2 linked regions of the Arabidopsis thaliana genome follow. The protein of the gene in region 2 purifies or fractionates together with the protein of the main gene of each other region. This does not show direct contact. Each region holds a gene or a part of one and is shown on either strand. Other genes may lie near its edges.

The links.
Region 1: the proteins of CDKE;1 (region 2) and AT1G14810 purify together in Arabidopsis thaliana (affinity purification with mass spectrometry, with the first as the bait; one large-scale study listed by BioGRID). This does not show direct contact.

What each region holds. Positions count from the first base shown.
Region 1 is NC_003070.9:5,101,645-5,106,415, forward strand, and holds AT1G14810 (semialdehyde dehydrogenase family protein), read right to left. Parts: upstream 3,207-4,771; 5' UTR 2,990-3,206; coding exon 2,429-2,989; intron 2,317-2,428; coding exon 2,230-2,316; intron 2,129-2,229; coding exon 2,084-2,128; intron 1,989-2,083; coding exon 1,893-1,988; intron 1,797-1,892; coding exon 1,695-1,796; intron 1,660-1,694; exon of another isoform or gene 1,538-1,659; coding exon of another isoform or gene 1,508-1,537; exon of another isoform or gene 1,358-1,507; coding exon 1,203-1,357; intron 1,122-1,202; coding exon 1,040-1,121; 3' UTR 915-1,039; coding exon of another isoform or gene 794-914; 3' UTR 780-793; downstream 1-779. Other genes in the region: AT1G14800 (Nucleic acid-binding, OB-fold-like protein), read left to right, coding at 794-914; AT1G14820 (Sec14p-like phosphatidylinositol transfer family protein), read right to left, coding at 3,593-3,754, 3,843-3,953, 4,039-4,156, 4,244-4,280, 4,519-4,771.
Region 2 is NC_003076.8:25,462,553-25,467,769, forward strand, and holds CDKE;1 (cyclin-dependent kinase E;1), read right to left. Parts: upstream 3,371-5,217; 5' UTR 3,171-3,370; intron 2,611-3,170; 5' UTR 2,506-2,610; coding exon 1,093-2,505; 3' UTR 810-1,092; downstream 1-809. Other genes in the region: AT5G63620 (GroES-like zinc-binding alcohol dehydrogenase family protein), read right to left, coding at 3,828-4,012, 4,135-4,312, 4,394-4,535, 4,629-4,842, 4,930-5,023, 5,108-5,177. UniProt on the Arabidopsis thaliana protein: Involved in cell differentiation. Required for the specification of stamen and carpel identities and for the proper termination of stem cells in the floral meristem.

The sequences.
Region 1 (4,771 bases), on a different chromosome or scaffold from region 2:
ATGTGTGTCATTCCTTGCTGTTATAAGGAAATTTATATTTACAATAAAATCAAACTTTTAATTAATTATCTAAGCATATCGTACTTTCAATGTTAATATTGTTATAATCCAACTCTTTTTGGCTAATTCGCGAAGAGACGTTGAAAAGTGAAATCTTCCCCAAACCAAAGAGTAGTTTCTAAGATTTTAACAGAGACACAAAGAGAAAAAACAAATGGGCGGGTTCATATTGGGCCAAAATTAACAATGGCAACGATGTGTAAAATAACTTCGTCGTTAGTCTCTGTTCTTCGCTATCCTCTGCAGCAACCGCTTAATGCGAGAGAGAGAGAGATTTCCATTGTATTTTTAATTTAAAATAAAATATATAAAAACAAGACCAATGTAACAAATGCATTGCTTAGATATATATAACTCTAAAAAATATTCTTACAAGATAGTAAGTTTGGTCTATTATCCTATAAATTCTAGCATATAACCGGTAACAACATGAAAAAAAAATGTAAAACTATACATAGATTACAAAAATGTAGAAATCAAAAGATAAGATTAGCAAATAACAAAGATATTCCCTTTTTAATCAAAGATCAGTAAAAAAAATCGAAGTGGTTAGTGCATACTAACAAAACCAAAAACAAAACCAAAAACAACGCGGGTCTCCTCCCTAGTCTTAGTAACGAAGGAGTGATTTTAGGATTTGATAATATCCACTAAACAAGTAAATATTTGCTATAACTATCAATAAAGTGGGCCCCCACTGGTTCAGTCTTCAGTGTGTCAAATAATTGTGGAGCCCGGTTGTCTTCGGTGAGATCAACCAAGTCGGTACAGATTCGAACCGGAAAATTGCCAAGAGGTTCAAGCGTGTGCATGATGAGTTCAGATTTAAGAGACAACTTTATGAATCAAAGTAACAAAATTGGTCAAAATAGAAAACTCACAGAACAAAAAATGAGACAAATTCTTGGCTCAAATCTAATAATACAGTGATCTCTTTGTCAAGAATTTCATAAGAAGCAAAGTGAGAGCGGGTTCAAATTCAGAGAAGCATCTCAGCGATCTGAACAGCATTCAGAGCAGCTCCTTTGCGTATTTGGTCTCCACAAACGAATATGTCCAGCCTGAATTCACAAAGTTATATCCTTTTAGGCATATCGCAAAGACATTTGCTTCAAATTCAGTAGAAAAGAGTGAGACTTTACCCGAAATTGCCATCTTGAGACACGTCTCGCCTTATCCTACCAACCGCTACATCGTCTTTGTTAGAGACATCGAGTGGAGTAGGGAAAGTATTTGAAGCACGGTCATCTATTATATAAACTCCAGGTGCTTTCTTCAGTATCTCCCTTGCTGTGTTCTGTTATGATACAGTAAGAAAAACCGTTATAACCTGAATAAGAACTTGATCATAAGATTCTTTTAATTGCGCAACAAGAATCACAATACATGCTACCAGAGCAAGTCCAAAGAACAACTTCAGGGTTTAACTCTGCAAGTGCATCAAGAACTATCCAAGCCTACTTATGCTGATTACATGCTGCTCCACATTTTTCAATGGCTTGAGTTAAATTAAAACCATAGAATGTGGTTTAAAACTTCAAATTATGATTCAAATTGTCATATCAGTGAGTGAAATCATAAGGTAACACAACAACACAGAATCAGTAGAAATCGGGTTCGACGTGTGTTATTACCTCATCAAGAGGATTCTCAAACTGAAGATTCACACTCTCTGCATGAGCACGCATAACTGGAACACGTATACACGTTGCTGTTACTTTTACTTCTGTGTCATTCTGTGAAGGGCAAGAAATTGGTGTGAGATATCTAAAATTTTTGAACAAAAGATCAAAGTGAAATGAACACAAAATAGCACTTAAGTAACCACTCACCCAGATCTTCCTTGTCTCCTTCACAAGTTTCATTTCCTCTTCGTTGTAACCGTTGTCAAGAATAGGAGCATTATGTGAAAACAAGTTAAATGCATACTGCAGAACAACATACAAAACCATCACATTACTCAAAAAGGGATTTCATAATCAGCACATTCGAAATACAAACTATAAGCAAATTAAGCACTCACCTGCTGCCCGAAGATGTTACAAGTCGGAGGTTTACCCTCTAAAACCTAAGAAAACACACCAATGCAAAGAAGACGAAGAAGCAGAATCACAACTCAGCACAATCATTAAACAATTCAATCAAAGAAGGCTGAAATAGAAACAAAACCTCACGAGTCTGCTGAACAAGCTCTTCCATAGCTGCAGCACCAGCACCACTAGCTGCTTGATATGTACTAACCACCATTCTCTTCACCTATTATAGCCAATCAAACATTATTCAGAGCACTAAAGTCTAAAGCTTCCATTGATTCTCTAACTACCCTTCAAAATTTTGGACTAAGCAGATTTCAGAATAAAAATCGAACCTTTGCGTGATGATGAAGAGGCGTAACAGCCATCAAACAGATAATGGTGGAGCAATTAGGGTTTGCAATCAAAGCCCCTTTGCCCATTCCAACTTTGATCCCTTTCATTGCTTCTGGATTCACTTCAGGAATCACAAGCGGAACTCCATCAACCATTCTAAAAGCCGAGCTATTATCAACAACAATGGTTCCTTTCTCCGCCGCCAGAGGACCAAACTCTTTGCTTATGGATCCACCAGCACTGAACAAAGCTATGTCTACACCGTTGAAGCTATCCGCCGTGAGCTCCTCCACCGTGTATTCATGGCCATCGAAGGCAACACGCTTCCCTGCGGAGCGTTTCGATGCAAGCATCTTGATGGAGCTATAAGGGAAGTCTCGATCGGATAAGACGGAGAGGAATTCTTGTCCGACGGCTCCGGTAACGCCAACGACGGCGAGTGAAGGCGCAGATTCTTGGAGAGACATTTTGACTCTTGCGGAGAAGTGTCTAGGTTTAGCTCTGAGAGGAAGGCGAGAGAGGAAATGGGTTTGTGGGGTTTGATGAGTGAACGTCGCCATTGTCGCCGCCGTGAGGAAGAAGAAGTGAGAGACAGAGAGATAGAGAGATTTTGGAGGCGGCTGATAGAAAAAAGCTTGGGACTTTAAAGTGTGTTAGTGAATTGACCAACATCTTCAAAATTCAAAACAGCAAGATTGTTTAATTTAAGATACAGAAACAGCATGATGTTTGAAACTGCTCATTCACCAGATTGAGTATATTCACACAACTTTCTCATGTGTTTCATCATTTCTTCTTTTGGAAATATTAAGTTGTTGAAAAGTCTTTTGTCATATAACAAGGCTTAGGGATCATATTTAAGAGCTCGTGATTCTGGTTTTTAGCTCAAAGACATCTATAGCTAACTTTGGAATCTTACACGTACAACAAGAGGACATTAAGTTTCTAGAAGTTAGTCTGGTCTGTTGATCAATCCTGCTTTACAGCTTACTTATGATGTGAATAAGAAAAGATAAGCAAGAGCGAGCACTCAGTCACCAGATTGAATATATTCGCATTACTTTCTCATGTTTTCATTGCTTCTTTTGGAAATTTAGAGATGTACCACTAGTTATGTTCTGACCATTACAAATATTCAGGTTAATGCTTCCAAAAATAAAGAGCTAAACATTATTGTTTGTTAGAGTTACTGGAGCAGCCTGAGGAAGAAGAACATCTTGGATTGCTGTGAGCTTAGCTCGGCCACCGTACTCTTCCGGTAAAGCATCTGCTCCGATCTCCTCCTCGAATTTTCTCTGTTCTTCTCCATCCGTAACTATCACAATCTATGCAACAGCAAAATCATAATTTATGTGATTCGTTGCTCAAGAACCATTAGAGATAGATACATCAAGAGGAGATTAAAGATCAAACCTTTTCCTGAGTTGCTTTCTCTAGAAAACGGCAGACGAATTTCCAAACGGTCACGAAGAATCCGGGCATATGCAAAATGTAGCATTTTGCAAGGCGTTCCGGGTAGTAAGACTAGAGAAACATTTTCCAAATTTAATAGACAGGACTTCTTTTTGTGTGATAACTATATTGTTTCAGGAAGAAGGGAGATGCTTACTTGTAAGAATTGAAAGCCAGTGATCAATCCACGAGCATCAAGGTTCTTGTATGTAATGTTTGCCAGATCAATAACGGCTACTAATTTCTCACCTCCAACTTCTTTGCCATTGTTGCCACTGAAACATAAAAACCAAAAAGCTTGTCTCACAACCAACTAACCGGAAGATTATTGAAGTGTTTTGGTTTCAATAATGTGTAAACACCTTGCGATTGTTTTGTCTAGCGCATAAACAACAAACTCTGCAACATCAAACAGATAAAAGATTAGTTCATAGATAATTATCGCAAGAATCAACTCAAGGAAAACACATAGATGGACTCAAAAAACTTCATTCATTTGAAGTCAAATGAAACTACTCAATAATTAGAGAACCAGGAAAGAAGCTGATCAGTTCTATGAATACAAAAGTCACTGAAAGTCAAGGGACAGATTATTTCCAACGAAAGTAAAGGTCAGAAGCAAGTGAGAGGTGATTACTCTTGAAGTTAGCTGGATCCTTAGAAGCAAAATGCTTAGAGGTTATGACAAGCACCAATGGGTGTCCGGATTTGGTCGGACCCTGAAGACAGACCTTTCTGAATTCCAATTCATCCTGCACTTCTGACTCAGGGATGAATCCAGTTGGAGGAACCATGGAGGCTCTCCATTTTTGCCAATCTACAAACATCTTTGCTGCCTTGACTGGGTCCATTGATCTTGCCACCAGGAACCTCATCAATGTTGGTTTGTC
Region 2 (5,217 bases):
ATTATGGCAACGTCGTGGGTCCATTGTGTATCTTTAAATCATAAACCGTCTCATAACATTGGCCGCCATATATTTAAGAAATAAGAAAAATACAAAACTAGCTTTCTGACTTCTGCTAAAGACAAAAATAGCTAGGTTTAATTAAGAAGAAACTGTGTGATTGTGTCGATCTTGGTAGGTCAATGCTTCATATTTATACTAAATTGCTTGCAAACAGTGAGTTTTATCTTTAGCAGAAGTCAGAAGTCTGTTTGTGACTTCCACGATGCAGAATCACGTACAGTTTGTATAGCTTGGTTCACACATTTCAGGCTAGTTCAAGGTTTGTGGTTTTCTTATCCACTTATTTATTGTATTTGTCCTGAAACAAACAAGCATATATATAACTCTTCTTCGTTCTTTTGAATCTTAAATAAAAGTCATAATAATAGAAAAACATTTCTCATTCATTTGTTTGTGTTGTATATATATAATATTTCTATTATGAAACTGATGGTAAGGTGAACAAAAACAAAATTTTGATTTGGAAAAGTATTATGTTCGTAATAATTGGATCACTGCTTACGTAGTATAATTGAATACAAGTTTGAAAACATTATTTTACTAAAGTATAATCTTTTCAAACTTTAATAGCAATGTTTAAACTGTGTGGTATTAAATATTCATTAGGTCTATGATTGATGATGTAATTACATTAGATTCTAATGTATGTTGGTGGTAAATAGATAAGACTGGCAGGTAAAAAAAAAACAAATTTCATAAACAGTAGAAACATCACCAAAATTGTGTTCATAATAACTGTAAATTGTGTTCATAATAACTGTCTCATTATATATATTTTTCACTTGGCAAATCTCCTATTTACTACGTTTTGAGAAATGATGTTAAGAGAAATGATGATCTAATATAATTAACAAATACTTGAGAGGATGTTTATACAAAAACTACAGAGAATCCAATCCATCCATATGAATAGCAACATTCCACATGCTGCATTACAATCTAACTCTACTCTATAAAGCAAATCGCAACGCTTTCTTCTGCGGCAAACACACAGATTCTAACCCGAGACTGATGATCTCGATTTTACCTTTAGAGGCGTCTGGATTTGTTAGGAGGTGCGTAACCTGACATACCCATTCCGGGATCTTTCCTTCTTAGCTGTTGCTGCTGGTGCGGTTGAGCCATCCCGCGCTGCTGCTGCAGCGGAACACTCGGGTTAAGCCCTGCCTGTGCCGGGAAATTATAAGCCATCATGCCTTGAGATTGCTGCATCCTCTGCATGTTATGTGCAACCATTGGTCTTGGCATCGATCTACTGCCCATTCCATGAGCTCCTGCCATGTTCCCTGCTACGTTTCCTGCTGCTACTGCTTGAGGCGGATTGATGCTTGTCGTGCCTTCGAAATCGGTGTTTGTATCTACTGGACGAGTTGGGTAATTCACATTCTTCTCCATCGGTTGGCTGGCTACAAATGCGTTCCGTCCTGGGAGAGGATCCATTCGGAAATACTCGTGTTCTAGTGCTTGTGAAGCCGTGATCCGCTTTAGAGGATCATATTCCAGCATTTTGGATAACAGATCATACGCAGGACTTTTCTGATTCAGGTGAACCACGTTGTGGAGACCCACACTGTCGTATTTGTGAGCTTGAATGTGTTGAACATCATTTTGCCAGTGTGGAAGGTTAACTAGTGTTGGCCATTTATCCATCGTCGGGTGGCCTAAGATCTTGAATATCTTGTCAAGTTGATCTAACTGGAAAGGGTTTTGAGACGATTTCGCTTCTGCTCCTTGAAACAACGGTTTAAGAGTTAGTAACTCCGCGAATATACACCCAACTGCCCACATATCAACAGCGCTCGTGTAGTGCTTCGAACCAAGAAGCAGCTCTGGTGCTCGGTACCAGATTGTGACCACAACTCCGTTATCCGATAGTGGTTTCAACGGAGCTTGATATATCCTTGCGAGCCCGAAATCAGCTATTTTCACTATTCCGTGCTCTTCTGCATCACCCATAACCAAGATATTCGACGGTTTCAAATCTCTGTGTATAATCCAATTACTGTGAAGATAGTTCAATCCGTTGAGAAGCTGCCAGAGCAAAGACTTAACTGTGTATGTGTTTAACGAATGGCCGACTTTGTCTCTGTGGTGCCTGATGATTTCATAGAGATCGTACTCGGCATAATCAAAGGCAAGATACAGAGACATGTCTGCAAAATTGATGTGGACATTCACAAGCTTCACGACGTTCTCATGGGAAATCTCTCTAAGCAACATGATCTCGCGGATAGCAGTCGGGGAAACTCCATCTCCATCTTTGGACTGCTTAAACTTCTTGATAGCAATAGGTCTTTTAGGCGGAGTCTTGGTTCTAGCCAAGAAAACAAGACCATAAGTGCCTTCACCAATCTTACCAACGAGATTGTACTGTTGCAGCCACTCTGGTTTCTCACTAGTGCTGTTTGAGCTGTTGGATCTACTGGAACTCCCATCTCCCATTGCTTTTTAGTATTATTCTCTACCTCAATGTCCTTACCATGTGAATCGGAAAAGGGGTAGAGTCTAACAAAACAAAACAATCTTGGTTTCCTCTTTGTAGTTCTCCTGAAATTTGAACAAAACTTTGGAAAATCAGCCAAAGGAATCAAACCGTACATGTAATCTATCTAGATTCTAGACTCAATCAAGTGATCCAGAAAACTTACAAGCAAGAAACTTCACAGAAAAAGATCTAGGACTCCTCACAAACCAAATTCCAAAAGGAACGTTTCAAAATTAGCAGACAATAAAATTCACATCCCTCAGAAAACTTCATATGAACAAATTCAGACACAAAGACTCCAAATTATCAGCAATTGACGTCTTATCAAATCTCATATTCAAAATAGAATTCATCTACATCGAGACACGAAAGCTCGAGACTTTACTTCAAAAGATGGAAAAGGGATCAATCAATTCAGCAGAAATTACCAAGCTCCAAAGACCAATAACCAGAGGAAAACCCTACAAATTCAATACCCAGAGCTACGGTGCCCTAACCTAATCAAAGACCAAAAAATTTCGATACCACTTTCAAATTAAAAACTTCGAGGCCTTATACGATCTGTTTTTACATTTCTCAAAAATCGACGATCAGGAAAATAGAAATACGTAAAGGATCTGACCGGATAAGGCGGTCGGATGAATGATGGGAAGAGGAGCTGAGCTTGGAGAACCTCGGAGATGGAGGAGAGTAGACAAAAGCGAGAAAATTCCGGTGAGACGTCACGGAAGGGAGAAGATTGCGTTTTCCAGAAAACGGTGACGTTCCAAGCAGCCGACGCTGAGAATGGAAACTAGATTTGTAATTTTTTTAGCCACTTGCTCCAACTACGCTATTTATTTATTAGTAAATTCATTTATTTTTGTGTTCAAATAAGTAATTTCATTTAAATCATCGATATACATTAGTAGATTGGATATTTCTCATCAAAGATTTAATGATTTATAGATAATTTTATCAAAAGAGAAATAAATTGTGTTTTTTTATATATATGTCAGTTATTAATATTCTTAGAAAGTAGAAAATTGTGAAAAGAGGGAAGAAATTAAAAATATTAACAGTATAGAAAAACAATAAATGTTGGAAAGAAATGAAAAACAGTAAAATTATAAATTTTGTCCAGTTACTACAGTTTTTTTTTTTCCTTTTCACTGTCTAAACAAACACAAATATCAGATTAACAATGACCTTGTCTGAAGATTGTAGCAACTAAAAATAGACCTCAGTGAAACAGGTGTGAAGCAGTCATTCACAAACCAGAATCAAAAGGCTATATTGGTTATAGTATCTCAACAACACCTCGGCTCACGATTTTGCCTTCGTTGAGATCTTGAAATGCTTTTCCTGCATCTTCAAACTTGTATTTACTTGAGACTGCGTTTGTGAGATTGAAAATCCCTGACTCTGCCAATTTCACTACTTTAGGAAGATCCTGTCTTGCTCTTCCTCCATAAGATCCTATAACTTTTATCTTCACAAAAAATTGGAAAAACAGAACAAAAAGAGATTCAATATCATGATCTTAAAAGACAATCTCAGTACCAGAGACTTTCTTCTAACAAGGCCGAGAGAGAGAGAGTAAGAACCCCAAACCTTTCTACGAACAAGTCGATTTATGTCAATTTCTCCAACGGAACCAGCTTGTGAGAGTCCAATCATCACAGCTTTTCCACCATCTTTCACACTTAGTGTGCACTGCATGAAAGTTTGAGGCTTTCCCAAGGCTTCAACAGCAACATCAACACCCATCCCACCGGTTATTTCCTACGAAGAAGAAACAGTTTTTCATATTTATATCAATCAATGGTTCATCTTCACAAATAAGAGGTCTTGAATCAACCATACTCTTATCCTTTCAACAGCATCTTCTTTAGCAGCATTGACAATATGAGTAGCACCAAGTGTCTTGGCCTTCTGTAATTTATCATCCTGAACATCCACAGCAATGATATCCGAGGCTCCAAAAGCCCTTGCGATCTGCAAACAACTGAAGCAACAACTCAAAGATGGTTATGGTCATACAAGAAGCAATAAAACCCAAATCCGGTAAAGAAAAGAAAATGCCACACATTTAACATACCTGGAGCCCACACCACCAATTCCAATAACTGCAATAGAATCTCCAGGACGGATCTCAGCAGCATGAGCCATAGCACCATATGCTGTAAAAACAGCACATCCCAGAATGGCAGATTCAGAGTAGGGCAAAGACTCTGGTAGAGGAGCTAAACCATGAGCTGGTGTAACACAGTACTCAGCCATCCCTCCCATACTATACATATACACTGGTGAATCTGCCAGAAATTAAGAAATGTAATTAGGTAAAACAATCACAGTTCTCCTAATATGCCACCTGATGTTTAAAAAGTCTTCAAATTTACCATCATGTCGCAAAAAGAGACGAGTTTCGCCATCGTAAAGAGTTCCCTTGGCTCTGTTGTAAGCAAAGAAGTCTTCACATAGATCATCATGGCCCTGTATCCAAATTAAAATATCAGCTAAAAAGCTACAGTTCTCAGATTAGAGAATCCGATGAAAGCAATACAATTTCGTTCTCACCTTAGCACAATAAGAACAGGTTCCACAAGGCATAATGAAAGCTCCAACTACACGAGACCCGATTGGAAATCTGAAGAAAAGTTGAGACATTTAGGATTTCTTCAAAACAT